Linked DNA regions of Notamacropus eugenii. The protein of the gene in region 3 interacts with the protein of the main gene of each other region in a biochemical or structural test. Links are inferred from orthologs where the notes say so. Each region holds a gene or a part of one and is shown on either strand. Other genes may lie near its edges. The genes, in order: SH2B3, GRB7, ERBB3 and PLCG1.

Evidence for each region.
Region 1: the proteins of ERBB3 (region 3) and SH2B3 form a complex in vitro, tested with the Homo sapiens proteins (2 studies listed by BioGRID and IntAct, with this or other methods). The link is inferred for Notamacropus eugenii from reciprocal best matches to the Homo sapiens genes ERBB3 and SH2B3.
Region 2: the proteins of ERBB3 (region 3) and GRB7 form a complex in vitro, tested with the Homo sapiens proteins (2 studies listed by BioGRID and IntAct, with this or other methods). The link is inferred for Notamacropus eugenii from reciprocal best matches to the Homo sapiens genes ERBB3 and GRB7.
Region 4: the proteins of ERBB3 (region 3) and PLCG1 form a complex in vitro, tested with the Homo sapiens proteins (2 studies listed by BioGRID and IntAct, with this or other methods). The link is inferred for Notamacropus eugenii from reciprocal best matches to the Homo sapiens genes ERBB3 and PLCG1.

Annotation. Positions count from the first base shown.
Region 1 is NC_092875.1:34,823,308-34,831,238, forward strand, and holds the start of SH2B3 (SH2B adapter protein 3), read right to left. Parts: upstream 3,006-7,931; 5' UTR 2,919-3,005; exon of another isoform or gene 2,859-2,918; intron 1,835-2,858; exon of another isoform or gene 1,317-1,834; intron 1-1,316. UniProt on the Homo sapiens protein: Links T-cell receptor activation signal to phospholipase C-gamma-1, GRB2 and phosphatidylinositol 3-kinase.
Region 2 is NC_092873.1:355,266,916-355,274,366, forward strand, and holds the start of GRB7 (growth factor receptor-bound protein 7), read left to right. Parts: upstream 1-4,445; 5' UTR 4,446-4,519; intron 4,520-4,769; 5' UTR 4,770-4,783; coding exon 4,784-4,808; intron 4,809-7,451. Other genes in the region: MIEN1 (migration and invasion enhancer 1), read right to left, coding at 284-357. UniProt on the Homo sapiens protein: Adapter protein that interacts with the cytoplasmic domain of numerous receptor kinases and modulates down-stream signaling. Promotes activation of down-stream protein kinases, including STAT3, AKT1, MAPK1 and/or MAPK3. Promotes activation of HRAS.
Region 3 is NC_092874.1:231,336,250-231,344,153, reverse strand, and holds the start of ERBB3 (receptor tyrosine-protein kinase erbB-3), read right to left. Parts: upstream 3,015-7,904; 5' UTR 2,663-3,014; coding exon 2,581-2,662; intron 1-2,580. UniProt on the Homo sapiens protein: Tyrosine-protein kinase that plays an essential role as cell surface receptor for neuregulins.
Region 4 is NC_092872.1:423,910,348-423,917,849, forward strand, and holds the start of PLCG1 (1-phosphatidylinositol 4,5-bisphosphate phosphodiesterase gamma-1), read right to left. Parts: upstream 3,016-7,502; 5' UTR 2,903-3,015; intron 2,825-2,902; exon of another isoform or gene 2,296-2,824; intron 1,972-2,295; 5' UTR 1,852-1,971; exon of another isoform or gene 1,849-1,851; intron 1,629-1,848; 5' UTR 1,484-1,628; coding exon 1,264-1,483; intron 1-1,263. UniProt on the Homo sapiens protein: Mediates the production of the second messenger molecules diacylglycerol (DAG) and inositol 1,4,5-trisphosphate (IP3). Plays an important role in the regulation of intracellular signaling cascades.

The DNA.
Region 1 (7,931 bases), on a different chromosome or scaffold from region 3:
CTACAAAAGACAAACAGAGATAAGATCTTTCAGTAGAGTGCCTGTTCTTCCTCTAGGCTGATCCAAGACACCCGAGGGACTCCCCCTTCCTCATCTTGGGGCCCAGCAGTCAGGCAGTCGATCAGCAAGCATTTAGGTGCCAGGGCCCCCTCCTCTACTATCTCCAGGCTGGGGGATGGGGAGCAGAGGGGGAGGGGGCATAAGTGGGTGGGGGGGGGGAAATGTCAAAAGAGGATGGGGAAGAGAAACAAGGAAATATGGTAATCAGGAAAATGAGCCAGGACTTGGATGTGCGCCCCCCACTCCAAGTTCCTCAAATCCTCAAATGTCCCCCCCAAACACACTAAGACTGGCAGGAGGGGATTTCTGAGAGACACATGACAATCACCTAAAATACCCTATTCTGTGGGGAGTGATGAAAAGCTTAGACAACCTTCTCTCCTGGGGAAACACCTCTGGTAACATACTCTGACCCACAGACAGCAGTAGCCTGTCCTGAGAGACATACACAGTTGTCAACCAGGTTTGGGAAAAGTGGTTGGGTCCTGGGGAAAATAATTCAGCTGCTACTGGTGGGGGTGAGGACTTTCTTTCCTTGGGTCTCCTTTCCAAGGCTACCACTCCCACAAAGGTGCTTGGAGAACAGAAGAAAGAATGGGGAAGAGTGCTTGAGTGGAGGAAGAGCGAAGGGCCTGCCGTCCAGGGCCCTATTCTACCACCTCATCCCAGATTTATCTCCTTGTCAAAAAGAAAAGGGGCATAGGATAAGAAACCGAATAGCTGAGCATCCCCGGGGACCGGCAGACTATACTTTCACTTTCTAGAAACTCATAGCAGAGAGGACTCCCTCTTCCCAACAACCTTCTCCCTGAGCCACGATCTGACCCTTTTGCCAAGACTTGGTCAGCTTAACTCCCTTGCCCCAGGGATTCAGGATGCGGGTGTTAAACAGACAGTGTCCCCCCCACCACCCAGAAACCATCAGTGCCTTAAAAACCAACCCCCCACGGGTTTGCAAACCCCTTCCGCCCTTGTCCTGGAGCTGTAACACGTGGGTGTGAGGGTGGTGGGCGAAAGAGAGGAATGGGGTCCGGTCCCAAGTCGGTGCCCGGGGCTTCTCAGCCGCACCACCCTAGCTTGGGGCGGGGGGGGGGGGGTAGAGAACCGCGAAAACGGAGGACTTGGAGAGCTAAGACTGGGCACAAGAGGATGAGGGAGTGCCCACCACCTTCGGGGCATCAGTCTCATGTCCCCCAAATCCTCCCTTTCCCCCCGAGGCGGACCTTTCTCTAGGAGCCAGGTTTGGGGAGCCTTACCTGAGAGAGAAGCCGTGGGGGTGTAGCCGGTCCATGGTCTCACTTGTCATCCGTATCCTCTCCCACTCCCCCCAATCCAGTTGTCCCCTTAAGCTCTCTTTCTCTCTCCAGTCTCCTCACACACGCGCGCGCACACACACGTAAAACACACGCGCGGACACACACACACACACGCACACACACACACGCACACGCACACACACACACACACACACACACACACACACACACACACAAACTCACACCGGGCTCAGGAAGGAAACCCGGACTCGGAAAATGGCCAAGGTCTCATCATTTCCGCTGACAGCGCTTGACAGTTGAAGATGAGTCCCTGGGCCAAGCAAACTTTGCCGGGGGCCAGGCGAGACCCGGCCGCGAACCCGGCTGGAGCGGGCCGCGAACGGCGGCCTGGGCTGAGCCCTCGCTCGGGCCGGGAGCTCCGAGAAAGGCGGAGAGGACAGAAGGAGCAGAAGGCAGCAGTGGCGGAGGTTCGGGCAGCAGAGACCATGCCTCCCTCCGTCTGTCCCTCCCTCTGTCCCTCCCTCTCTCCCTCCCGCCGGTTACGTAAAAAGGGTCATTACTCCGAGGGACTAGAGACCAGGAGGACTGCAGGGGGTGTGTGCCAGGCGCGCCGTGTCCCCTCCCCTGCCAGCGGCTATGGGTTCGGATTTGGATTTGGGGCGCGCTGGGGCTGGAGGGGGTCACTGCGGGCTCGCACCCCAGACCGGGAAGCTTAGCCAACCGAGGACGCAGAAGCAGTTCCCCTGGGGCGCTGGGCCGGAGGGGAGGAATTTGGATGGGCGCCTACGCCTCCTTTCCGAGACTAGGTCACCCCGAGGGGTTAGAATCTGCGGGGTTAAGGTCCCTAGCTTCCCACAGCACCGCCCCTCCCTCACCCTAGGGGGTCTGGGAAGGATAGTTGAGTGTGCCCTGCTTCCTCCACCGAGGGCTGCCCCCAGCCCACCCACACCCCTCAAGGGCACCTAGAAACACGTGTCAGGGCCCCTGGGCCCTGGGAAGCCATCGAGTCACCGCCCCCTCCCTGCAACCACACGCGGCGCCTGGCTCCAAGTGCCGCTTGTCCGGATTAGAGCTGCCTCTGACCAACGCAGGCAAACCTAACTAGTCTCACAGATGTCGCACTGGAAGGAATGCCAATATTCCAGTTTCCACAGATAAGAAAACTGAGGCCCAGGGAAGGGCAGGTTGACACACAACTGATGTAACATCAGAGCTGGAGTCCCAGCTCTGGTCTTTTTACTCTACGATCTTTTCTCCTTCCCCAAGGTCTCGCACACAGTTGGTGTATAATAAATGTCTGTGGAACTCGCTATTCGCTCTTCCAGGTATAGAGGAAATAACTTGGTCAAAGTCCTCGGGTCGGCCTTCAGAGCCCTGCCCAGTCTAGTCCATCCGTAGTCCCCTCCTCCCCAACCTCAAACCTTCGCTCCAAGGCCGTCTAAAATTCCTACACCCCCTTTCCAGCCCTCCCCACCTCGGAAACCGGTTTTCCTCACCCCTACAGCCACACTCCCAACTCACCTACTCTCTAGTGGCTTAGGTCACTCACTGGCTCTGCTTGGTATCAGGACACAGACGTACCCTTTTCAGACGTGCCAGTCTTCTCTCCCCGGGATATTTTGAAAATTTCCTTCAGCAGGGGTGGTGTCTTCTACCTTGTGTCGTCCTCCCGGGCGCCTCGCCCAGTGCCGGGCATTTGGCAAGGTCTCCATGGACGCTCTTGAGAAGAAGGCACGAAAGCTGCCTGGGTAAGTGGAGATGCTCCCCTGAGGGGAAGAGTGCCAGTGGCAGACAGGGGCTGGAGAGGGGGCGGTGTAGTCTGGGTACACAGCTGTCCTCGCCCCCGCTCTGCACTGCCTTTAAGCGCCCCCTGCAGGGCCAGGCCCAGGACAGTCCACGAGCATTTATTTTGCCCCTGCTAAGTGCGGGCGGGTGAGGGGGAAAGGGGATACAGAAATAATGAAAAACTAGCCCCGAGCTCCAACGCGTTTACATTCTCCTGGGGTAGTCCAACTTGCAAATAGATAAGAAAACTGAAGATAATTTCCCCCGGCTTTCCCAGGGGGCGGAATAGTTGGAAAACTTTCCAAAGTGGAGGAAATGTGACTCCGCCGGATTCGGGAGAGAATTAGCTGGCAGGGGAAGGGTCGGAGCCCCGACTTACAGGTCTGGGACTCTGCAGTTCTAAGCAGGGGTAGTGCTTGGAAGCAGCAGATTAGCGGGATCTCCCCACACCTGCCCGGCCCAGGGGCCGCCTTCCCAGTTCGGTGTCTGGGGCACCCGCTGCCCCAGAGCGGCCAGAAGGTGGAGGAGGAGATGCGGAGTGCGACCGAGCGGAGCCCAGGGAAGGTCGAAAGGCGTCCCAAAGACCTGCCGCACACCCCCGCACCCTGTCCGGCTGCTTTCATTTTCGCTTTTCAGCCTCTCTCTGGTCGCTGGGAGCTACAGGAAAGCCTCCCAGGGCCGTGCGCTTAGGGGTCCGAAGAGCCAGGCTACGTGGCGAGATTGCCCCCACCCCTCACGAGCCCCACCTTCCCAATGCTGCCCCCATGACCCAGCACCCGATTCCACCTGCCAGTGCGGCGGTACCTGGCGCCTCACTGAGAGTTCTCCTGAGGGGTTGCCCTGGAACGCCCTCCCTCTGCAGCTTTACCCTAGGGTGCTTCCCCACAATACTGACCTTGTGCCCCACCCCCAGGAGGGCTCCTTTTGATGCCCCGACCTTGGGATCCTTGGAGGGACTTGACCCAGATCTTTTTACCCAGGCCCTTCACTGTCCCCTGCACAGGTGACCCCACCTTCCAGCAGGGCTGCCCCAGGCCAGGTGTGCAGGAATTTACTGCTCTCCATCTGGAGAAATGGGCCTTGGCCCGCAGCAGTAGGGGTGGGGGATGAGGGACTTCGGTCAACCGCAGAACGAGCGTTGGGTCTGGGGATCTAGATTCGAATTCTAGTCCCTGTGTGACCTTTGGAAAGTCACTTAAGTTTCATCCTCTGTAGAATAAGAGGTCGGACACTAGACTTCCTAGGTGTCTGCTAGTCCTAAATCTTGTGAGCCTGTGATCAATTTTTAACCAACCAACAACTATTTTTTAAGCGCCTACTACGCACCAGGTACTGGGCTAAGCACTGGCGATACAAACTGAAATGATGGTGTCTCAGACCTGGCCACTCACCCCCAGCCTAGCACCTATTTGGCGGGTTCCAAGAAGCCCCAGCGGTTGGGTGGAAAGAACACGGAGGATTTATGTTCAAATTCTGCTATTAACTGTCTGTGTAACCTCAGGCACTTGATTTCTCAGATCCAGTTTCTTCCTCTATAAAACCGTGGTGTTGGCGTAGATGATCTCAAAAGAACCTTCAGGCTCTGGATCTGAGATAGCATCGTTCCCCCAACCCAAGGAACAAAATTCTTTGACTTTGTGACAAATTGTGATAACATGAGAGGGCCTGGGGTAGGAAACATCGTTTTTCCTTCACCAGAGCACCTGGGGAAAGAGTTTAAGTTCAAACTCTTACTTTCTTTGCATCGGTTCTCCTCCCGCCAGAGGGTTTCTATTTATCCTCCTGCCTCAAGGATCAACCAACCCCAAGGAGACCCCTTTGCATTTATTCCATGTGAAGGCGTTTTACTTTATGCATTTAAAAACATGATTTTGAGAAGGGGTCCAGAAGCTGCCCAAGAGGGTTAGGACTAGAAGGGATCTTAGTCTAGTCCAGGGATGGGGAACCTGGGGCCTCAAGGCCACATGGTGTCTTTGGTCCTCAGGTGTGGCCTCTGACTGAGTCCAAGTTTTACAGAATAAATCCTTTTATTAAGGGGATTTTTCTGTGAAGTTTGGATTGAGTTAAAGGGCTACACTTGAGGACCACATGTGACCTCAAGGCCCCAAGTTCCCCACCCCTGGTCCAGTCAAACCCCCTTATTTGATGATTCTCCAGTCTACTTATTCTGCCCTCTTTACTGACCTGCCTCGTGTCTCCAAACTACCTTTCATGTGTCTGGAATTGGATGTTTAGTAGACATCTTAAACTCAATGTGTCCCAAACTCAGCCTTCCCTTTTACTGTAGAGGGCACCGTCATTCATACTTCCAGTCCCTCAGATAGAAACCTAGGTATCATCCTCAACTTCTCACTCTCTCATCACCGCCCCCGCCCCCTCCCCTCCATCCTCGACATGGAATCTGTTACCAAGGCCTGTAAATTTCACCTTTGTAGTATCTCTCAAATTTGCTCCCTTCTCTCCTCTGGTACTGCCCCCACCCTAATGCAGACCCTCATCATCTCAGGTCTGGACTGTTGGTATAGCTGCTGGTGAGTCTGCCTGACTGAACCATCTCCCCACTATAGTCCATCCCAATCCTTGCATTCCTTCAAGTCCCAATGAAAATCCCACCTTCTATAGGAAGCCTTTCCCAAACCCTCTTCATTCTAGTGCCTTCCCTCTGTTAATCTCCTGTTTATCCTGTCTATAGCTTTTGTGTACAAATTTGTTTGTTTATTGTCTCCCCTGTTAGATTATAAGATCCTTGAGAGCAGGGACTATATTTTGCCTCTTTTTGTATCTCCAATCCTTAACCACATTGAGTAGCACATAGTAGGGGCTTAACAAGCATTTATAGGTCAACTGACTGGTTATTTTACAGATGAAGAAACTGACAACTGGAGATGTTAATTACTCTCCCTGTTAGGTCACAAAGACAGTAAATAGAAGAGCTAGATTTTGAACTCAGGTCCCAGGACTTGACATTTAGCACTCTTTCTACAGCATCACACAGTTTTAGAGCTGGTAGGAACCTTAGACATCATTTGGTCCATACCATTTTATTTTTTCTACCTTAATTTTATTAAATGTCCTTTGTTTTAAATCGCCTTCATTTCTGAATTATATCCCTCCTCTCTCTCCTATATAACCAATCATCTCTTATTTTAAAAAAAATCAGTAAATCAACCAAAGCAATTTTACACATCAACCTCATCAGATAGTATATGCCATGTTCTATACCCATAGTTGCCCACCTGAAAAATTAAGGGCAGGAAGTACAATTTCTCACCTGTTCTCTGAGGTCAAGCTTGTTTATTATAATTTAGGATTATTGTCATTGTTGTTTTAAGTCCCTCCATTTTGCAGTTGAGGAAACTGAGGCTGTTACTTTCTAAGTGACATACAATGACTTTCCCATGATCACAAAGGTTGGTAAGTGACAGTGTCTAGACTGGAATTCAGGTTCTCCAACTACAAAATTGTGCCTGCCACTGAATTCTTTGTAAAAACTGGGACTCTACCAAGCAGGGATCTTTCTGCTTTCCCTGTAACTTCAGAAAAGGGAAATGTTAAGAGGTTAGGGCTGTAAACTTGCTGCTTGTGTCTACCCTAGTGAAACATATGGCATCTCAGCAATGGAGCTGGATCTGCCAGGCTTCAGTTCCTGCCCCTGTTTGATCCTGGGCAAACAAGAATTGTTTTCTCTGGCATCTTATTCTCCACTTGGAAGGTAGAGATAATACTAACTGTCCTATTCTCTCCAGGAGGTATCACATCATAGGTACAAAGCTGGAGGGGACCCCTTGGGATATCCCTTAAATACTACTTGAAGTCTATCCCCACTCTCCTCCCCAAAAAGAACCTCAGATCATAGAATAATAGGACTCACCTCAGGCTTCTACTGAGTGGTATGACATTGGGCAACCAATCAATCAACCCACAAGCATTAATTAAGCACCTATTATGTGCTAGGCACCATGCAAGGCAGTGGAGTCCCAGAACCAAAAATAAAAACTTTCTTGCCTCAGGGAATTTACAATGAAGCCCTGCCACTCCCCACTCCACCACTATGGTCCCTGTGCGCCCCTCCCCCCATCTCTATCCCAGCCTGATTTCTTTTAATCTTGTCCTATTTCCTTTCCTCTCTCTCCTAGAATTCTGGGCCTAAAGAAATGGGAATTCCCATCCCCACAGAATTCTATCCTCATTCAAGGCAGGCTATGGTTCCTATTTAAGATGTCAGGGTCCTGTAAAACTGCCATCCAACATTCTTGGTAAAGGCAAAAAAGATTGTTGAGTCTTTGGGAAATGAGCTCTCATGAATGAATGAGAGTTGTGTGCTCTTGCTAAGGTCATAGAATCTCAGGCTATCAATATCCTCCCCTCTTCTCACCTAAGGAAGCTGAGATCTACAGGACTTAAGTGATTTGCTCATGTAGGATTTGAATCTAAGTCTTTCATGACTGTATGTTCAGTGTCCTTTCTGCTGGCCAAAGTGGCTCCTTCAATAGTCTGCCACTTTTCCAGATAATAATAACTAGAATTTATGTAGTGTTTTAAGATTTGCAAAGTATTTTATAAAAGTTATCTCAGAGATTGTCTTTTTGCCTCTAGTGTTTAGTGCTTGGCACGTAGCAGGCACTTAATCAATGTTTATTGATTGATAGATCACTTGATCTTGAGAAGTAGTGTGTTATTATCCTCCATTTTACAGATCAGGAAACTGAGGCTGGGAGAAGCTAAGTGGCTTGTCCTTGATCACATAGCTGGTGGGTGCTGAGGAAAGATTTGGACCCAGGTCTGTCTTAGCTCTGAGTTTAGCACTTT
Region 2 (7,451 bases), on a different chromosome or scaffold from region 3:
GGGCCAGGAGGAGGGGAAGGGGGAGGAGGAGGAGGGGAGGAGGAGGAGGAGGGGAGGAGGAGGAGGAGGGGAGGAGGAGGAAGAGGGGGGGGAGGGAAGGAGGAAGAGGAGGGGAGGGCCAGGAGGAGGGGAGGAAAGGAGGAGGAGGGGAGGGGAAAGGAGGAGGAGGAGGGGAGGGGGAGGGAAGGAGGAAGAGGAGGGGAGGGGCAGGAGGAGGGGAGGGAAGGAGGAGGAGGGGAGGGGAAAAGAGGAGGGGGGATCCCCTCCCCCGAGCCCCTCTCACCAGTACTCCACCACGATGCGGACCCCACTGCCCGGCAGGGGCTCCTCGAGATCGGCCCCGGGCTCCCCGCTCATGGCTTCGCTCCGCTCGGCCACACTCCCCGCCGGGACCGAGCCCAGCCAGACGGGCAGACAGACCGGCTGAACACGGAGCCTGTAGACCAGGCGCCGCTTCCGGGTGTGACGTAGCGCCGGGTCACGTCACGCGCGCCCAGTCCGGAGGCGGGGCCGTTCTGGGGGCGGGGCCCGTCCGGAGGCGGGTCAGATCGGGGGGCGGGGCTAGGCCGGGGCAGGGCCCGGCTTGTCCTCTGAATGGCTGGCGGGGATGCAGCGCCCTCTGCTGTGGGGAGCTGGTACTTGGGTTGTCCCGGGATCTAGGTCTGGGTCTTGGGAGTCTGAAGCCCTGGAACTCTCCTTGCACTCTGGCCTCCCACCGCAAGCCCCGGACTTTCGTCTCCGTGCCTTTGTTCACGCTGTTCTCTACAACTAAATCATCCCCCGCGACCCTCTGTGGAATTTCTGCCCAAAGGTAGTGAATGGAATTTATAGGACGATTTAAAGTGCTCTACAAATATTATCTCACTGAAGACTCATGGTAACCCAGGGAGCTAGGGAGTATTAGTATCCCCATTTTACAGATGAGGAAACTGAGGCAGGCAGAGGTGGTGACTTGCCCAGGGTCACACAGCTGGTAGTATCTGAGGTCATGTTTGAACTTAGATCTTCCTGACTCCAGGTATCCATCTCACGACCTAGCGCTCTCTAAAAGTATCCACAAAACATTCTCCCACAAACCTGGGCCACATTCTCTCACTCATTGTATATGGCATCAGTGTCTACCCATGTTTTCAGGAATAGGAGGCTGGAGCTGTGATTATACAGGTACAGGGAACACTCAGGTGAGCAAACTCCCTCTACCTGTGCAGGTTGACACCTCTTTGACTTAGTCTTAAAGATTTGCCTAGAACACTGAGATAGTAAGTGACTGGCCAAGGGGTTCCACAGCCCTTATGGAGCCTTGCATATAAGTCTTCTGTCTTTAAGGTTAGCTACTTATCCTGTGGGTCAAGCTACGGTTCTCCATGCTTTAAAGCCCACATCTCCTCCCTCAAGCCTTCCCTCTTTCATCCTTGTACAAAAGCATCTTCTCCTCACATAGTCCTTTGTTCTGCACCTCTCGGATTTTCTTATCACAAATACACATTATAGTTGTTGAAATTTTCTCATTCCATTTTTAGGGACTGTTCCATGAGAGCAGGGACTGGATCTTATCTAAACTTTGTTACTTTCTATGTCTAGCAAGATACTCTGTATAAAGTAGGAACTTAAATAACTTCTTGTAGAGTTGAAGGGGGACCTTGGGAAAGCATCTTAATCTCTCTGGGACTGTTTTCTCTTCTGTAAAATGAGGCAGTTGGGTCAGACAGTTTCCTCAGATCTGGAATTTTATGGTTCTCTAATCTTATGAATAAAGAGAGAGAGAGAGAGAGAGAGAAAGTGAGAGAGAGAGAGAGAGAGAGAGAGAGAGAGAGAGAGAGAGAGAGAGAGAGAGAGAAAGTATGTGTTCAATCCTGGATCCCTCCAGTTACAGAAACAGTTTCCAGTTCTTTTTCATTTGAACCTTAGAGGGTGCCAAGTCCTCCCAGGTCTCTGTATCAAGATTTCCCTGGTGCTCTGTGTTTTTCTCCTCAGCATCATGCTCAAATTACACAGCTTTAAAGAACAAGCACTTACACCGTTGGAAGAAACAAATTCAACAAACATTTATTAAGGAGGTGGAAAGAGCCCAGGTACTGGAGTCAGATCTGGGTTTCAAATCCCACTTGATGATGCTTCCTACCTTCTTGGGCAAGTCACTGAACCTCCATGGGCCTCAGTTTCTTTATCTGTAAAATGGGGGGTTGGACCAGGTGGCCTCTGAGCCCCCTTCTAACCCATGCTCCAAAGTATTTGTTCAGAGAAGCACAAATACCAAGAAAAGGCAGGCTCCACCCCTGTCTTCAGGGGAACTGACAGTATAGGAGCAGAGAGAAGACACTTAATTAAAAATACATTTAAAAAAAGGAAAAGAAAACATTGCATTTCCTTACCTACAAAATGGGGGGTAATAATGCCTCCAAGTGCCTACATCACAGGATTTGTTTTGAGAATCAAATCAGATAATGGAAAGTGCTTTGAAAACTTTCAAATGCTCTAGCAATGTCAGCAGTGATGATGATGATATGAGATAATTATTATTAATATAGTAGCACAGTTCAGACAGGGCATCAACAGCCCTCAGAGGGTCTAGGAGCCACAGGGCTGCTAGTACTAGGAGGATGGTGATATCCAGGCTTATTTCACAAGCCACAGCGGGGGGGGGGGCTGCTCATTCTCTCCGTTTAACATTTGTAATGAGGTGAAACAGGTTACAAGGAAAATCCAGATGAGTCCTGCTGAGAAAAGGTAGGGTGGAATGAGTGGGAAATCAGAATTACCAAATAGCCAGCTCTAAGCGCTTTAGTCATGATAGTGTTTTCATTTTATAGTGAGCACATAGTAGGTGCTGAATTAATGCTTGTTGACCTGGATGGAGAGGATTCTGTGGGCTGGTAGGATATATATATATTAACCCACTATCTATCTATCTATCTATCTATCTATCTCTCTATCTCTCTATCTCTCTATCTCTCTATCTCTCTATCTCTATCTATCTATAGATATGTAGTGGGTTAATTTAGAGGTCGAAGGGACCTCTCAGAGACTATCTAGTAGAATTCCCCCATTTTTGTAATAAGCACATAGTAGGTGCTAAATTAATGCTTGTTGAGTTGGATGAGAGAGATTCTGGGGGTTAATTGGATATACATATGTTGGATCACAGATTTAAAGATGGGAAGGACCTCAGAGGCTATTTAATCCACTTCCTCCATTTTACAGATGAGGAAACTGAAGGCCAGATGAAGTGACTTGCCCAAAGCCATTTAGCCAGAAAGTAGCACAGCCAAGATTGAACCCAAAGCCCTGATTCCAAATACATTGGTTTTTTCTATTTTAAATACATTGTCTCCGAAGGAGCTCATTCTTGTTAACACTTAGCTGGCAGAACCAGCCCTGGTTTCATCTTTCAGATCCTGGGAAGCTCACCTCACCTGGCCCCACAATTATCATTATCACATTCCCTTCCCACACTGGTCAATGACTCCAATTGTCATACTCTAGAGATGGCTTCTAGTATTATACCTAACTCACTTAAAGATCCGTCTCAGGGAGGTTGATGGAGCTATAGGGGGTCAGCGTCCATTTTAATAGAATGTCAGAGATGGACAGGGCCTTTGGGATCACCAAGTCTAACAAGCGAACTGAGGGACCTGGATCCTGTGATTTCCAGCCATAGCTGGGAGTAGAATCCAGGGCTTTGAGGAGGGAGAAAAAAATACATTTATTAAGTACCTCTGTGCCCCAAATTGTGTTGATCTTCACAACTCTTCGAGGTAGGTGCTGTTATTATTTTCCTTTTAAAACTGAGGAAGCTGAGGCAGACAGAAGTTAAATGACTTGCCTGTGGTCACACAGGTAAGTGAGGCTAGGTCTGAACTTAGTGCTTCCTGACCCCGGGGCCCACAGCCCTATCCACTGCACCAGGGAGGACCAAGCATAGATGGCTCTGGAAAGTCAAAGTGGGGATCAAGGGCTGAATAGACCTAGAGAGTCAGGCACCTCCTAGACATGAAACCAGAATCTGCCCTCTGCCCCAGGGGTGGGGATGGTGGAGGGTGGCACCCATGCCCCAGACCATGCCCCCTGTTGGTTGGTTGGTTGTTCCCTCCCCCTTCTTCTTGGGAGCTGAAACCTTAGTGTCCCCTCTAGTGTGAATGGGATCTGCTGGCTGCTCTGGACACCTGGGCCCCTCCCCTGTTCCCTCCCCCCACCTCCTTGGACACCTAGGTCCCAAAGGCCTGGATAATAATAGCACAAACACTCCCCACCCTAGTGGCCGGAGGAGTATTCTCTTGTTTTTCTCCTCCCTCCTTCCTCCAGGCCCCGCCTCCACCTTTCCAATCCCAGTCACTTTACCGCCTCTCCAGCCTTGCCTCCCGGTTCTACCACCTCTCTACTCCCCTCCCCCGTCCTAGCACATTTTCTGGAAAGAGAAACTCAGGAATCTGACCCTGGTGTCCTGGACCCTCGGCTGTCACCAGACAGAGCCGGACGTTGGACCCTAGGCATTTGAGCCTCTCATACTGGGGCTTCCCAGGTAGGAAGAGAAATATCCAAGAAAACAACCTCCACTCACCCTTATCCTCAGTATCTTTGTAGCTGCTGTCTGTGCCAGGGCCCCTTACAGGTGGACTTGATGTCTAGTGGGCAGTGTCGTAACCCCAGCCCCGTTCCCATGATGGCAGGTGGAACCTATGAAGGTTGGAGGGCTAAGGAACCTGCAAAGGGTACTGGGGTGGCGGGGAGACACAGGTGGATAAAGGCAAGGTATGTCCCTCCCCAAACAGATGGCCCCAGCCAGATGTGTAGCAGCACCCAGGGTCCAGGTAAGGGCCGAGCTCGGCAGCTTTTCCTGTCTCTTCCGACATACCTGGGGACGCCCTCCTGCCCAGATCCTTCCTTCTTTGTTTCCGGCCTGCCTGTGTTTTCTTCTTTCACCTGCTTCTCCCCTCTTTCCATGACCTCCTTTGGGTCCTCTGTGACTCCTCCATTGCTAAAGGTCTCTTCTGTTTCTCTGTGGGGAGAATATTTGCCAGCATTGTGTCAGCTGAAGGGTGGCGGCAATAGGGAATCTTTTCTCATTTGGATGATTTCTGCTTCCCCTGGACAGCCCTCCCCCTTCCCTTCCTAAAAGGGAGATGGGGGTTGGAGGGAGGCATTAATTGGAGGCTCAGTGTCACAGTAAGCCCCCATTCCTGTTCATCTCTGCAAAGCTACTGTGAGCTTGCCCTGATTGGGATGCCCTAAGATTTGTCTAGAAAGGGGTCTATCTGGGCTTCTTGAAAACTTCATTTGGGGGATCAGTAAAATGATTAGGGCACACTGAATTAGGATTAGTTTTGGGAGGAGGGAATTAATTGTTCCTTCTTTCTCCCTAACTTTCCTTTCATTGCAGATGGGCTCAACACTGGTCCCCACCTTCCAGCTCCCCAGCAAAAGAGCTTAAATCTCAAGGATCTTGTTAACTGGGTTCTAGCTGTGTCAAAGAATGTGGGTGGAGGACAAGGGAAACTCAGCAGTGATACCCCAGTTTCAGGGCAGCTTTGCTGGGAGCCTATCCACCTCAGTCCACCAAGCAATGAAAGGAAAGTTGGGGAGAAAGAAGGAAATTATGAGGTTGGATGTCTGGGTCCCCGTGCTAGAGACTGGAGAATGGAGAGATGGGGGTCCTACTGCTTCATTTCCCACTGTAGGATGAGGTAGGAGAGCTCTCTGTACTCTGAAAAGGATGCAGGATAGTTGGATTCCATTCTTGCTATACATTCTTCTCCTCATGGGGAATTTCAATTTTACTTCCCTAGTGCAGCTTTAATAAAGACTGGGGATAAGAAATCTGTTACTTTTGGACTCTGCTTCCCTCCCCCCCCAAATCAGCTTAGGGGAGATGGGAGCTCTACCCCCCTATCCCCCGGGTAAATAACCAATAATGATTAACCCTAATCAAATTTTGGCCACTTTTGCATATTTTCCAAATTAAACTTTAAAAGAAATCCTCCCCCTTTCAGAGGCAGACACACCTTTGTTGTGAATATCTTCTTGTGGGTAGGTTGAACCTCAGTTTCCTGGTATCTTCCTACCTGATGCAAAGGTCACGGAAGATGTCATCCTGGGTTTCTATATTGTTTACCAGTGATCTCCCAAAGTTGCACCTCAAAGATTCCCCCTTTTCTTCCCAAATTTCATTTAAAGGGAGAATCTGGGATTCTTACTCCAAGGGGGAGATTCATTCCCCGCAAATGGGGATGCAGGGACTACCTCAGCCTATGGAGAGAAGGGAGGACCTCTACCAAATAACCTCTGGACCCTTTTCCATTGTCCAATCCTACTTCTTCAACCTTTACATAATTTTTTCCAATCTTTCCCCTGCCCTACAAAACTCCCAGTGTCTCCCAGACCTCCAGTGCCTCACTGAGAGTTTTCAAGACTGTGATGTTTAGAGTAGGACTTAGAATATTTAATATTGTGGTCCCTGACCCTCAGACTTTCCTCTCCCAGCTTTTGCTAGCCAGGTGGGGCAAGTTTCAGGAAGTAAACAAGGAGGCTGGGGAGAGAAAGGGGGTGGAGAAGAGAGCTTCCGGGGAACTTGGGGTGGGAGGGAAATACTTTTGAGGTGCGGAGAGCTTTGGCGGAGTATGAGCTTCTTTGGAGTACGGAAGTCTGGGGATGCCTGAGGGCAATTCCCCTCCTTCATGAACCTTTCCCCCCTTTGTTTGTATTCTCCAAACCAGTTTGGTAGGTGTGGGAGGCCAGACTGGCCATTCCGACTTTGCCCCTCTGGGTCTTGTCTCGTTCACCTCACCTACTTTCAGTTTTTCCCTCCATGCCATGATCCTGATTTCCCTGTTCCAGAAAGTAGGATCAGGAAATGAAGGGAGTAGGGAGGTGGAGAAACAACTGAGCCAACATTTCCTCACCCCTCCATCTCATCCCTGTGTCTGGTCTTCTCTCTGCCCACAGGCTAGAAAGTAATATACTGTAAGGTAGACTAAGTTATTTATCCCTTAAAAAGAGTACCTCCACCCTACCCTGTCAGCCTTTGTCCACCCCACCCCCAGATGTTGGCAGAACTATCTCCCCTTTTTTACCCATCCCCCTCCATGGGGGATGCCATTCAGTGGTGCCTATGTTCAGGGCCTGAGAGGGAGGGGAGTAGGTGGGTATGTTGGAGGGCCCTACTCCACCACCCACCACCCCCAACACATAATGAGATAAGGACATTCCCCCCACCCACCCAATTAGACTGAGGAAAGGACCTCCTAGGGATGCTGGCTGATTGTCAGCTTTGCCCCCTCATCTACAAAGCTCCTATCATTGAGTTTGGAGCATGTCTCCATCTCTTCTATGTTGTTTTGTCTAGGGTTATCCTTGTCTTAGCAACATCCCTCTCCCTGTGTCTTTTGGCTTTTTATGCTATTTCTGGGTCTTCTCTCTGCATATCTCTAGCCTTAGGAGTTCTGAACCTTTTATTG
Region 3 (7,904 bases):
ACAATTTTGATGTAGGAAATGATGAACAATTCAAGGTATCTCTGCCCCCTTGATCTCTGGTCCCCTCCCTTTTCCAGTGGGTTAAAGTCTATGTTGGGAGTTGGGGGCAGGAGCAGAGAGAGCACCTGTTTGCAACTTCTCTTTCTTGGGGGCACTGCCAGCTCATCAGGAAGCAGGCATGAAGGCATGTGGGGAATGGAAGCCAAGGAACCCCCTCTTGCTAGTTCCATACCAGTCCTGATCCCTTGAAAGATTCCCCACACTACTCTCCTGTTCAGGATTCCTTTACTGAGAAGGGGGAGGGGAGAAAGGATGGAGCTCAGCATGAACCCAGGAATCAACATTGTCATTTTGGAAGGGACAAGAAGGAAGGCTGAGAATGGCATTGCTTCTGTCTGAGAGATGACTCATACACCAGCAAGTTAGAACCAAGTGCCTCTACCCCTCTTGCTAACAAGGACACCCCTTCACCAGAGCCTTCCTCCATGCCTATGAATCAGACTTGTATTTCTGTGTGCAGAGATGTTCTTGAGAATATGTCTTTGAGAATAGTACAAGTTAGTGTCTAGAGAGCTAGCCTCAGAGTAAGGCAGAGGTTCAAATCCAGCCTGTGACAGACTGGTTGGGTGACTCTGGACAAGTCACCTTAACAACTCTTTAAGATTGTAAATGGCATAAGAGTTTTTGAGCTGCATCAGTAGAGAATTTCCTCACTCCCATAGGAAAGACACAGATTTTTTTAAAAAAATAAGTGAGAATATATGATGTCTTTGCCCCTGCTCTACCTCTTTTCTCAAAGCCTCCCCCCACCAGCCATAACCACTCCAGGAATGCTTTTGTACCCTGGTACATTGCCTTGGGCTACTATGTCAAACGACATCCCCCAAAATCTTTTACAGTCCCCACAAGACAATCACATTAACATATATGTTTATGGATTCTTGTGTGCTTGGGGAGATGGGACAGAGAATTAGAAGTCATTGTCTCCTACCCACAGAAATAAAATCCACCTCACATAAAAAAAGGGAGAGGAAAGGGCAGTAGATGAGGGTGGGAAAGAGCAGGAATGAAGGACCAGGAGCCTGAAGTCAGTAGTGCAGTCATTTCTAGGGAGAAAGTAGGTACTTGTGGTGGGTTGGAATCATCCAAGTCCCCAAATTATCCAGGAACATGGGGAGAAGTTATCAATCAAAGGCCCTCTTAGGAAGACAGTATTGTGGAAAAGGAAGAGACTGTTCTCTCCTACTACTCCCCCTGGGGATCCTCAATGTGAACCTCAACTCCAACATTCCTCTACCCCTGACCAGCGTTAGGACAAAGGGAGCATAGAGAGACCCAGACGAGGCCGGATGCCCAGAGGCTGAAAATCCAGATAAAGAAAGGCCTGGCCAGAACTAACCCCCCCCTTCTTCTCTCCTCCCCCAGGAATAGATCCAGGGGCCAGAACTCCTGGTTTCCTTGCTGGTAACTTCTCAGATTCCCAGTCTGAGGGAGAGGTAGCTACTGTCATCCTTTTTCTGCAACCACTACCCCTTCCTTATACCAGACTCCTCCTCAATTCTTCCAGCTGGGAGTGTTCACAATTCAAGGTCCCAGAGACTAAATTTAGACCCAGCAACTGTGGAGAAACACAGGTGTTTTTCCCACTCCCTTCACCCCTACTGTGAGTGGGGCACAAAATTCACCAAGCCCCAAATTGAGAGAGATGGCAGTAGAAATGTCTAATTCTTTGATCCCCTTAAATCCCACCAGCATTCTGTGATCAAAGATACCCAAGAAAAGGGGTTGGGGGGGAGGAACAATCCTTTCAGAACTGTCTCCTTAAGTTCTGTCTATAAGAGGAGACAGACTGTCTAAGCCTCCTTTTCCTTCACGTCTCCAGCGCAAGCAAGAAGTTTTACAGTGGTCGGATTTGCTAAAGTCTAGATTTCGTGAGTAGCTTGGGGTGAAGCAGACAGGAGTGGTTTTCTGAAGTTCTTTATCACTATCACCTGGACTTGGCCCTCTGGCTAATCTCTGCCCAGCCCGCCCCCACCTCCACCCGCACCAGCACTCACACAAACAAGCAAGAAAGGGGAGGGGCCCGGACCTATTTTTCTAACACAAGGGAACAACTGCCCCCTCCACCCCCCCCAAATCCTATTCTAGCTCCTCCCAGAGCCGGCAAAACACCGAAACTGGCGGTGCCTGAAACCGGGGGAACCAGGGAGACGGGACTGGGAAAAGAAGTTAGGCTCCAATTCTGATTCACTTCTCGAGAAAATATAACACAATACATCATCTCTACAAATTGGGACCCCCAGAATGCCTGGGTTCCACCAGATTGGGGAACTGAGAAAGCAATCGCTTCCCCAGGAGGATCCTCAGAAGGCGGGCGGGAGTGGAGGGTTGGGGGGACGTCCAGCCAGTTCAAGCTTCGAGCGCTTTAGAGCGGGGCCACCCCGAGGGTACTGAAGAGGGGCTGCAGGCACTGACCCCTCTGTTTCCGAGGCTCGCAAGCCCCCGGGTTCCTCAGGCTCCTCCCTGCACTTGGAGCTCCCGGCAGCACCCAACCTCCCCTGTCCCGCAGCCCCCGCTTACCTGCTTGCGAGCTGCCCACCTCCGAGCCCCTGGTCAGGTGGAGGAGCCAGCCCAATACCTGCAGCTCCAGGAAGCCCTTCATAGCTGCTGCGTGCCGGGGGTAGGGAGCCCGGGCCGGGGCTCCGAGGCTAAGACATCGGGATTGAGAAAGGCACCTGAGCCCGGAAGGGAGCAGGCGGAGGCGCAGTCCGTCCAGGTAGCAAACGCGAAGTGGTGCTGGATCTAGAGCTGGAGCAGGGACCGGGGAGGGAGGGCAGGGGGTGGGGGGCGGAGGGAGAGAGGGAAGGGGGGGTGCGTACGTGTGTGGGGAGTGGGGTGAGTCACGGCCGCTCCCGGACCCGCCAGCGCTGGCAGCGCCTCCGACTTTCGCAGGGTTGAAGTTCGATCTCGCCCGATTCCACCCGGCTCGTGCTGAGCTACCCTGCACCGCCCGCCCCGCCTTACGCGGGCCCCGAGTTCATTGGCCAGACGGTGGGAACCCCCTTGCTCCGCCCAATCAGAGAGACGGAGAGGCTCACCCTCACTTTCCCCGAGGAGAGGGGGAGCAGAAAATTCCTAAGACTTGCCCCCACGCACACCCCCGTGGATAAAGAAGGGATTCTCAACCAGGCTGGTCCCGCCCATTATGTAAATCCCACCCTCCTACTTCCCTGGCCGGTTGGTCCACTTTGGTGTTTTTATCCCTCTTGAGATGGGGGGGGAAGGGAGCAGCTTCTGCCTCCTGCTCCTCCCCCGCCTCCCTTGGGAATGAGACCCCACGACTGAGCCTTCTGGTCCGCAGGATCCCTAGCCTCTCCGAGGCTCCGTGAAATTGCACTGTCTCCGGATGCTTCCCCCCTCCGAACCCGGCGCCTGCCCAGTCTCCCAGGAGAATTTGAGGAGGGGAGGGGGTACCAGTCTGGGAACAGACCCTAAGCCCCGCCTCTCCATTCCCACTCTGAGAAAGGGAAGGGAAAGCAGGGGAGGGGCAGACCCACCCGGGCCAGGGTGGGGCCAAGACTCAATGCACCTGTTGCTGCCTGCCCCTCCCCTACCCCCCTCTTCTGCCCCCCATGGCCGATCTAAAGGACAGCTGCCTCTCCGCCATCCCTTTATGAATTCTCCCAAGTGTCCCAGAGCTTTAGTGCCTTCTTTTTGGTGGGGGGAGGGGATAAGGGGGCCCCAGACAAGTTAGACTGGTTGGTCTCTATCACTACTGCCATCACCCTAGTACAGGACTTTGTTCCTACTCACCTGAACCATTTGAACAGCACTTCCTGAGTCCACTTCTCCTCTGGCCACTTTTCCTTGTAAACAAAGTCGCTTCTTTTGTTTACTAATCTTTAGTGTCGACCTGTTGCCTACCAACTGAAGTCCAAACCTCAGCCAGTCAACAAACATTTTAAAGTCTGTACTATGTGTTAGGCTATGTGCTAGAAGCTAGGGAGAGAGATACAGTCTCTGCCCTCCAGATGAGTGAATACAACTATGAAATGATGCCAGTGATTGGAGAAATTAGGAAAGGACTCTTGGAGAAAATAATAATAATCCTATAATAATAGCAACATTTATATAGTGCTCACTATGTGCCAGGCACTGTACTTTAAAGTTACTATCTCATTTAATTCTCACAACAACCCTATGAGGAAGGTACTATGATTATCTCCATTTTACAGATGAGGAAACAAGTAAACAGAGGTTAATTGATTTGCTCAGGGTCACACAAGTGGTAAGCGTCTTGAGGTCAGATCTGAACTCAAGTCTTCCTGACTCCAAGCCTAGGGCTCTATCCCCTGTGCCACTTAAATGTTCACTTTAGTTTTGAAGGGTCTCGAAAGGAAAGAGGTGAGGCAGGACATTCCAGATATAAAGGACAGCCCCATGCAAAGGCATGGAAGTGGGTGGTAGAATACTGTATGTAGGGAAAAACTAAGAATAACTAAAAACATATATATATATATATATATATATATATAACATGTTATATTAGGTCACAATGTAATATAAATAATATGTATTATATAACATAGCAAATGATATAAGACACAAAACATAAAAAGCATAAAAAGTAATACCATTAGATGGATGGATGGAATAAGTATTGAGTGCCTACTACGTTCAGAAGCAAGTAACAGCTGTATGGCTCAAGTCCAGGAGCAAGTGGAGCCTCAGTTCCAGCTTTTAAAAGTCTGAATCCTGCAAAGGAATAATCAGAGCAACTCTGAACCAGCAGACGTTCTTAGCTGGTTTCCCAGCTCCAAATCCAGGTAAGAAATTTACACAGCTCAAATTAGGGAACAGTGATCAGACTTTGTCCTGAAACAGATCACTTTGGGAACAGTAAACTTTTGTAGATCAGAAGCCTAAGCTGTTCCTGACATCCTGGAATAACACAGAATTTAACACCCCAAGAAAGCAACAACACCCCGGACATTTCCTCCAGAAGAGAGCAGAGCCTAGCCCTAATATCAACTCCAAAGTCAGGAAGTAATATGGGAGAATGAGCAAAAAAAAAAAAAAAAAAAAAAGGATAACATTGTAAAATGCTATCATAGTGACAAAGAACCCTAAAGACACAAATCCAGAAGAGAATGACTCCAAAACATCTGCAAAGAAAGTCTGAACAACAACACAAATTCAACTAGATATTTATTGTAGCTTATTTTGTGGTGGCAAAAAGTTTGAAGCTGTGGGCATGCCCATCAATTGAGGGAATGGCTGAACATGTGATGGAATACTATTGTGCTGTAAGAAATAATGAAGGGGTTGTCTTCAGAAAAATCTGTGAAGATTTACATGAACTGATGCAAAGCGAAGTGAGCACAACCAAAAGAACAATCTAACAGAAACAGCAATATTTTAAAGATAATTGAGTGTACAACTTAATAATTATGGTTAATACAAATGATCTAACACAGTTTCAGAGGAGTCATGATGTAAAATGCTTTCCACCTCTAGATAAAGGATTTGGTCTTAGAGTGCAAGTTGAAGCATGCTTTTTTCCTTTCTTTATTTTCCTTGCCTTTTTGGGGGTGGGTGGGAAGGGAACATGGTGAATGTAAACATGTTTTAGATGACTTCATATATAATTCATAATGTAACTTCATATACAATGGGTATCATATTTCTTGCTTTTTCACTGGATTGGGGAGGGGTGGAGGCAGGGAGAGAACTTGGAGCAGAAAATTGAATTTTAAAAATAAATTGAAAATTCTTGTATTAAATGAAAAAGAGTTAATAGAAGTAGAGTCAAGATGGCAAAGTGAGAAATAGCATTTTTTTTTGCCTTAGTTTCTCTACCATCTCCTCCACAATGACCTAGAAAGCATGCCAGATTAAATTCTGAATGAGAAAGCCAAGAAAATTTCACAATGAATAATTTTTTCTCAGTCCATGGCAGCTTTGGAAGATAAAGAGGTCTGCGGACACTGGGGTGGAGGGTGGTCTGGAGCTTAATAGAGCAACAGGTAAAAGTAATTGTGGTTCATGGCAGTAGCAGTGGCAGAAAGCAGCCCAGTGCCGTAGGATGGTAAGGGGACTGAATACCTGGGCAGAAAGAGATCCTAGGGCACCCTTGATCTAGCTTTGGGAGCAGGAATGGTTGCCATTTAGCATCTATGTTGCCCATTATTTATTTTGGGGTAACATTTCTAGGGAGGAGAGGAGTCTTCATGGTCAGAAGGGAGCAAGCGTCTTACCTGTAAGGTAGCAAAGTTTAAGGAGCAAGGAACAAGTTTCAGAAAAATAGCTGTATGTCTCTGAGCCCAACAGCAGAGTTGGGGGACTCAGTTCTAGCCTTTAGTTCTGCACATAAGCCTGCAGTGGAATAAACCAAGGCAGAGGGCCAAAACCAAAGGGGAGCCAGTGGTTCAGTCATTCTGAACCTGCAGAACCTCCTAGGGAGCTATGACTGGGTCTGGCAGCAGTCTGTGGAAACTCAACCACATGCAAGCCAAGAGATCCCAACCAGGTCAGAAATTTGCAGAGCATAGACCAGACTTCTTCTTGGATCACATCACTGAAAATTTATAGAGCCCCCAGACTGAGCTGTGAAAGCAGTAGAAAGACATAAAAGATAGTTCACACTTGACATCTCCTGCCACCCCAGAGGTAAGCAGAGCCCAATACTAACATAAAGTCCAAAGTCAAGAAGTAGACTGGAAAAATGAGCAAATAAAAAAATAATAACTTGATTGCAAAAAAAAAAAATGACTGGTGATAGGTGAACTCAAAACATAAACATAGAAGAAGAAAATGACTTGAAAACATTGACAAACAAAGTCTTGAAGAAAAATGCATATTGTATACAAGCCCATCAAGAATTCCTAGAAGAGTTTAAAAAAGTGATTTTTTTTTTTAAAAAGCAAAAACAAACTTTTTAAAAAATAAAATGGGAGTAATGGAGAAAAAAATTGAGAATAAAAATCAGAACAATGCAAGAAAATTATGAAAAGAGAATTAACAGCTTGGTAAAAGAGCTGCAAAACCTCACTGAAGAAAATAACTCCTTAAAGATTAGAACTGGCCAAATGGAAGCTAAAGACTCCACAAGACATCAAGAAATGAAGTGAAAAGAGCAAAACAAATAGAAGAAAATATGAAATATCTCATAGGAAAGGCAACTGACATGGGAGATACATTGAGGAATCTTTTGAGGAAATTGAAAATTTGAGTATTTATTGGAATAAATTGAGGAATATAAGAATCATTGGACTACTTGGAGCTTCCTGGAAAGTCATGAACAAAAAAAGACGTTAGGTATTATATTTCAAGAAATAACAAAGGAAAACTGCCTGTGGGCAGTTAGAACGAGAGGGCAGAGTAGAAAGTGAAAGAATCCACTGGTCATTTCCTGAAAGAAATCCCTAAATGAAATCTAGAAATATTATAGCCAAAATCCAGAACTCCCAGGACAAGGATAAAAGAGTGTAACTAGCCAGAAAGAAATAATTCAAATACTATGGAGCTACAGGATCACACAAGATTTAGCAACTGCCACTAAATAGGATGGAGGGCTTAGGACATTACATTCTGAAAGGCAAAGGAGCTATGATCACAAAATAAAAATTAATTTTCCAGCAAAACAGTATAATTCTGCAGGGGAAAAATGGATATTTAATGAAATAGAGAACTTTCAAGCATCTTGATGAAAAGAACAGAAGAGATAATTTGATATTTAAACACAAAACAAGCACAGAAAAAGATAAACACAAATGAGAAATCATAAGGGACTAGACAAAGTTGTTTATGTCCTGTATGAGAAGGTGACACATGTAATGCCTCAGAGCTTTATCATAACTAGGGCTGTTACAGTTTATGTAGACAGAGGAAAAGAAGGGAAGGAA
Region 4 (7,502 bases), on a different chromosome or scaffold from region 3:
CTCCCCCTACCCTCAGCCCAGATCGAGCACAAGGGAAAAAGAGGCCTCAGCCCTTCTGTAGTCTGCCACAGCCAAAGTTCTCCCTCTTTAGGCCCAGAATCCCCAACTCACTTCAGACACTCCTTCCTAATTAACTGCCCATTCTGAGATTCTTTCTCCCACCAGGTACAACCTCCCCTTGGAAGTTCTTTGGGCATCTCCTTTGAGTATCACTTCTTGGCTCCCATCTGGAAGGAGGGAGATACAGTTCTAAGAAAAGTCCTGGATATCATTCCAACTACCACCCTACAATGAAGGAGCCAATTACATGAGTGTAGACCGAAGCCAACCCCCTTGGACTGACAAGGAGTATGCTTCCTTAGAGTCTACCAGACTAGAAGGGCTGGATTGATCAGAATGCACCCTAATTAAGGGAGGTACCCCACTCTCCTAGCCAGGGAGCCTTCCTTATAAACTGGGCCTAACTCCCAGAAATTCCCCCCTGCCCCTCTCAGTGGGCCTGACCCAGGCTAGGCTGACATTCAGTGTTAGGACAAAAGGTGCAGCAGGAAGGAGGGAGCTAGGGGAGGCCTTCTCTTTTCTCCCTCCCAGGCCTTCCCAAACACAGCTTCCTTCCCTTTGGGATCGGGAAGAGGAGGGAGGTGGGGAAGGCAGGCGCCAACAAGCTGGCCTGCCGGCCTCCCTGCCCCCCCCCCCCCACTCTAACAGTAACAATGTAACAACCTAAGCGATACAATGTGGCTGTTTCTTTCCTCTTCTGGCCCACAGCTGAGAACCGCCGGGAGACAAAGCTACCCCTCTTCTTGCCTGGGGGGAACGTCCGCGGTAATCCTTATCCCCCAACCCCGGGATTCATTTCCCCCGCTCCTCCCCCCCCCCCCCCAAACACTCTGGTTATCCTGAAGGAGAGAAGCACACACATCTATGCCCTGGGCCTATAGTCAAGGGGGTGGGAAGGTGTCTTTCAGAGCACCTGGGCCCAGTTTTCCCTGGATGAATCGTCATAGCAGACAGTACCTGATCCATTGCCTGCGAGACGAATAAAAATCGCTTGGGTAAGGGTGAAGGCCCTTAGCCCCTGCCCCCTCCCCAAAGCAACCAAATTCTGAGAAGCAGCAAACGACGGCGGGAGAGAGCCAGAAACGCACAAAGTTTGCATGAATATCTCCACCCCCAGCCCTGGACAAACAGCTGGACGGAACGATCCGAGTTCTCCTCCAACCAGAGAAGGTACGCAAAGGGGCCAGGGCCGCAAACACCTACCCGCTCCTTCGATTTTATCTGCCCCACGACTCCACGTGATCTGCCGGGTCTCCAGCTTGACCTGGAAGGTTTTCCTCTCTGGTCGCTGGGATTTCTTGGAGTAGAACAAGGTCATGACGGTGCCCACTTCCAAACTCCTGCAGAGGTGCAGAGCCTCGGCCTCCGACGGGGCGCAGGACCCGCAGCCGTTGGCGAAGGGGGCCCCCACCCCTGCCATCATTCCGGGGATCTCCTGCTCTCCTCCAGACCCGAGTTTGTCTCAAACTGCAGGCCGGGGAGCCCCGGAGGGCGCTCAGGAGGCAGCGTCTGGACGAGCGCTGCGTCTGCCAGCAACAATCCAGCAATCCGCGCCGCGGCAGCGACTCCTGCGGGGGCGGGGAGGAGGAGGAGGAGGAAGGGGCCGAGTTAACCAAGGAGGCGCCTGGAGACTGATGCCCCCTCCCCCAGAGCCCCGCCCGCGCAGACCCCGCCTCCCCGGCCCGAACAAAGACCCCCCCCCCTTCCCGCCCCCAGCAGGCGGGGCTGTTCGCCCCCCACCCAGGAGGCGTCCTTCCCTCCCAGCCTCCCGAGGGTAGTCCTACGGACCACCTTCCAACAGCCCGCACTGTCCGAGTCTGGCACCCTAGCCACTTGTCAGTCTTCTGATCTTGCAAGCCTCTGCATCGATTCGAGGCCGATAAGATGTCCCGAAAACTCAGGAAGTAATGGCTGAAAAAGAGCAGAGCAGCGTCTCACACTCTGTCACACACACACTCTCTCTCTCTCTCACACACACACCCCGAAACACAAACCCAGTCGCACACCCTGCAATAGTCCTTCGTACACCCTAAAATACAGCCACACACACCCCCCACCCCTCACCCCCCACACGCAGAAACAGCCACGTACAAATAATGGAAGTCACAGAGTGTAACAGAACCACACAAACAGTGGCACACAAGTCCCTGGGACAGTCTTACACAAACAGTCGCACAACTACCCAGACCCACCCTACAGCCTGAGTCAGTTTCACATCCCGGCCACAGCTGCTACCTGGGCCTGCCTTTCCCTCTGTCTTCCCTCTCTCTCTTCCCTCTGCTTGAGTGGGGTGGGGAGGAAGGGGCTGATGGGGAGTGAGGGTCTTTTGCCCCTAAATCAACACGTGCATTGGCTCAAGAAGTGGGGGAGAACGGAGCCGAGCTGCAGGGCGGTTCCCAATCTGCCTCCCTTGCTTCCCGGCCTCTCCCTGTCTGCCAGTCTTTCCCTGTCTCCTCTCTCTTTCTCTCTCTCCCCCCCCTCCCCCTCTCTCTGTCTCTCTCTCTCTCTCTCTCTCTCTCTCTCTCTCTCTCTCTCTCGGTCTCTGGGGCAGGAGCCCGGCAGGGTCTACTAAGTGCCCCCGGGCTCTCGGGCCCCCGCTGCCCCCGGCCTCCCCCGCCCCACATCCGGTGGTGTTCGTTGCTCTAGCTGCAAAGGGAGAGGGGAGCGGGGAGAGGGGCCGGGCGGGCGAATAGGAACGAAGACGCTCCCCCTTCCCGGCGCTCAGAAAGACAAAGCGGCCGGGGTGGGGGGGTGGGGGGAACCCAGCCCCTTAAAGGGACACCAGGCTTAACTCCGGGAGGGAGGGGGAATTCCCCTAGACAACGCCCCCTCCCTCGCTCACCTGAGCGCGTTTAATTCAGCTCTGCAAAATGGAAAGGGAGGAGAACCGTGTCGAGTAGCTGGTCGCAGAGCACAGATACGACCCTCTCTCTCTTTTTCTTAGGGGGGTAAGAGGGTGGAGTAAAGGACGGAAAAGGGGCTTGGGAAGGCGGGGCCACCTGTTGATTGGCCAGGGGGGTAACTGATTGACAAGCTCTCCACCTCCACCACCCCCTTTTCCCTTTGAGTGTTGGAGGCGGCCCTGGCTGAGGTCACTCCCTGATTGTCCAGATTAGGTTTTGCCTACCTTCTCCTCCCGCCCCTTGGGGTTTGCGGATTGATTGATTAATTCCCGCCCGGTACCCGGCTCAAGGCCTGCCTTCGCATTTTCCCCACTATGGTGGTCGTCAGGGACTGGATCTGTGATTTCAGTGAAATAGGGAAGGCGCCTTCTCAGTTTCTTAATCTTTAGATGTGTGCCGTGGACTCCTTTGACAGTCTAGTGACGCTTATGAATTCCTCAAAATATTTTATTTAAAAATTCATAATTATAGGAAATTTTATTTAGGGGTCAGTTAAAATCAAAGATTATATTTTTTTTTCCATCCATGTTCACAGTCCTCCTAAAATCTATCCATGGAGTCCAACCCCATGTTAAGAAACCTGTCCAAGACACTGGTTCAGGGTCAAATTGGCAATATGTATCTGTCAGAACTTGACTCATAGCTAGCTCTCTATCCTCCAGACCGCTGTGGTCTCTCCTGGTCATAGATTTGGACCAAAAATGTCAAAGGTGGGGTTCAATCATTTTGTTGTTCAGTCATTTTTCAGTTGTTCAATCCTTTGTGACCCCACTTGATTTTTGTTTTATTTTCATTTTGGCAGAGATACTGGAATGGTTTGCCATTTCTTTTCCAGCTCATTTTACAAATGAGGAAACTGAGGCGAACAGGGTGAAGTGACTTGGTCACACAGCTGTTTGTATGTTCGTTCTTCGTTGCTGAAGAAGACCATGGTCACACAGCTAGCTAGTAACTGACCCCAGATCTGAACTCCAGAAGGTGAGTCTTCCCGACTCCACGGCCAGCGCTCTATCCACTTCACCACCTAGCTTCCTGGTTTAATCCAACTCCAGGTCAATGGGAGAGTACTACATTGTGCCTAGGGCGCTCCCACAGTCAATATGGAAATTCCATCCAAAAGTCAATGTGTAGAACACTTCCAAGTGAAGAATTCACCCCCTAGGCTGAGGTGAAGATTTTCTACATTCCTAAATTCATTTAACAAACATTTATTTGTTTATGGTCAACTATTCACCTGCTGCCGGCTTGCAGGGCTAGGCCCCTGGGAAAACAAAGACAAAAACTCTTGCTTTCTAGGAACAAGTCTTCTGCTGGACAAAAATCAGTAGAAAGTAATTTGAGGGTAAGGGCTTTAGCACCTGGAAGGGAATCAGAAGAGGCCTCAAGTAAGAAATGGCACTTTAACTGAACCCTGAAGGAAGTTAGAGATTTCCAAGAGGCTGGATAAAGTCATGCATTCCAGACTTAAGGGATAGTCTAGGCAAAGGCCTGGAGGGACGATTAATCAATCAATAAACATTTATTAAACATCAACTATGTGCCAGGTACTGTGCTAAGAGCTGGGGGATACAAAAGGAGACAAAAGACAGTTCCTTCCTCCAAGAAACTTACAATTTAATGGCGGAGACATCATGCAAACAAATATATACAAAGCTATATACAGGATAATAGGAAATAATTAACAGAAGCAAGGCACTGGAATTAGGAGCCACTGGGGAAGGATTCCAGTAAAAGTGGGATTCTAGTTGATATTTAAAGGAAGGCAGGGAGGTCAGTAGTCAGCAGAAGAGGGAAAGTATGGAGTACTTTCAGAGAAAATGGCTGTAACTGAGAGATGGAGGATCTTGTTCATGGAAAGGAGGCCAGTGTACCTGGATCCAAGAGGGTAGAGAAGTAAGGTGTAAAACGACTGGAAAGGCAGGAGGGAGCTAGGTTAGGAAGCGATTTGAATGCTAAATGGCTCGTTTTGTATTTACTCCTTGAGGCAATAGGGAGCCATTGGAATTTATTGGCGGGGGAGGGGTGGAGGGCTCTGAGGCAGAGAGCTAGGGGTTTGTGTGTGACAGGACTGGACCCGTGCTTTAGGAAAATCACTTTAGTGGCTGAATGGAGGATGGAATGGAGTGAAGAGACACTCACCCAAGACAGGCAAACCCACTAGCAGGCTATTGCAATAGTCCAGGTGTGGCGTGACAAAGGTCTGCACTAGAGTGGCAGCAGTCAGAGGAGAGAAAGGGACTTAATTAAGAGATATTGCAAAGGTGAAATCAATAGGACTTGGCAACCACTTAGATATAGGGAGGGGAATGGGTAAGAGATAGTGAAGAAAACCAGGATGACTCCTAAGCTGCAATTCAGAAGGACTGGGAGGATAATGTTATCCTGGAAGGGGAAGAGGGGGAGAGATAATAAATTCTGTTTTGGACATGTCAAGTTTAAGACATCTATGGGATATCCAGTCTGAGATGTCTGAAAGACGGTTGGAGATGCAATATTGGAGATCAGCAAAGACTGAGTGAGGCAAGATAGGTAGATTGTGAGAGTCATCAGAATAGAGATGGTAATTCAAACCTTGGGAGCTGATGATATCAAGTGAAGAAATATAGAAAAGAGCCCAGGACAGAACCCTGAGGGCCACCTATGGTCAGAGGGTGGGATCTGGAGGAGGAACCAGCTAAGGAGAGAGATGATCAGTCAGAGAAGTAGGAAGACCAGGAGAGAGTGGAGTGCTGAAAATCTAGAGAAAAGAAAGTATCAAGGAGGAGAAAGTGATCAATAACAGTGTCTAAGACTGAGGAGGGCTCAAGGAGAAAGACTGAGGTGGAATGTGAGATCTGGGGAACACCAAGTAGACAGTCCTGATTACTCCTTTTCCATATACTTTACTGAATCATGATCCAAGCCCTGCTCCTCACTGTGAGGACCACAATATAGATGTCTGTCTCTGTTTATGTATGTATGTATGCATGCATGCATGTGTGTATGTATGCGTACATGTGTGTATATTCTCTGTTACATAGTCCAAATCTAGAGGTTCTTAGATAACTCTGGTCTTTCAGAGAATTTCAGTTTTTATATATATATATATATAAAATTGATAAGGGTCCAACTATAAAATGAACTCTTCTGCCTTTTAAATTATAAGGCAGATACTTTTAAAAATGGGGAAATAATTTCATTTCTTTACCATTATCAATATAATTTATGTATAAAATCCAATTAATCCTTAATTAATAAAGTCATAATCCAATTTTGAGAACTTATCACCAAAACATACTCAAAGCCTGATTTTCCATGATAAATAAATTTGGAAGACAATCATATGCATCTGTATATAGTTCTTAGAGAAAAAAAAGCCTAATCCTGTTGCTTTGGGATTTCTGATTACAAGTGTTTTCCTCACTCTAACATTAATTAAACTTCTGTTTAGTCCCTGACACCTTCCTCTGGCTTGCTCTGTCTGGCTCTGGCCATTCTCAGGTTAGAGGCCAGTTCCAGTCCAGGTTCACAGGGCCAGATGAAATAATACTTGCAAAGCACTTAGCTCAGTGGAACATACTTAGTGACTGCTTATTCCCTCCCTAAACTGCTCCCTTCTCTTCCATCCACCCATACAACAGCCCAAGTGATGTTCCTAAAGTACCGGTCTGACTAGTCACTCCCCTGCTCCAAAAGCTCCAGTAACTCTTTATTGCATCTAGGCTAAAGTCCAAACTTCTCTGGCACACGAACCTGGCTGGAACCTACCTTTACAGACATACATTATTCCCTTTCCCATACTTTTTGGTCAGCCCAAACTGATCCTTTTTTCTTTGCTCACACATGAGATTCCACATCCTTTCTGTGACTTTTGGCAAAGTGGATAGAGCACTGGCTGTGAAGTCAGGAGGACCTGAGTTCAACTCAGGCCTCGATTACTAGATGTGTAACTCTGAGCAAGTCACTTAACCTCAATTGCGTTCACACCAAAAATAAATAAATAAATAAAAATACAGGTTATCGTTACCCATGATTGTAATGGGCCACTCTTGTCTTCCAAAATCCTTAGCTTCCTTCAAAGCTCAGGTTAAGCCACCTGCTATCACTTATTGATCCCTGGTCCAACCCCAGCTGTTAGTGCCTCCCTCTATTTTCATTTACTTGGCATATATTTTGCATTTGTACGTACACACAGAATGCTTTCCGCAATAGAACTTAGTCCTTAAGGGCAGAGGCCATTTTGGTTTTGTCCTCATATTCCTGGTGCCTCAAGCAGATCCAGACATTTAGTAAGTGTTTAATAAATGCTTGCGGATTGGTTGAGTAATATACAACAAACCTGGAAAGGTTGTCCAGAGCAGAGACTTTCAATCACATTCAATTCACTTCAGTTTGATAACCTTTCAATAAAGGCGCTGTTAGGCATGGAAGTTACAAAGACAAGAAGGAAACTCTCCATCCTTCCAAAAACCTGAATTCTCCAGAAAGATACACAACATGAAAAAGGTGAGTATAATATATTTACAAGCTAGGATGTGATGGAAGCCAAAGAGAGTTCCA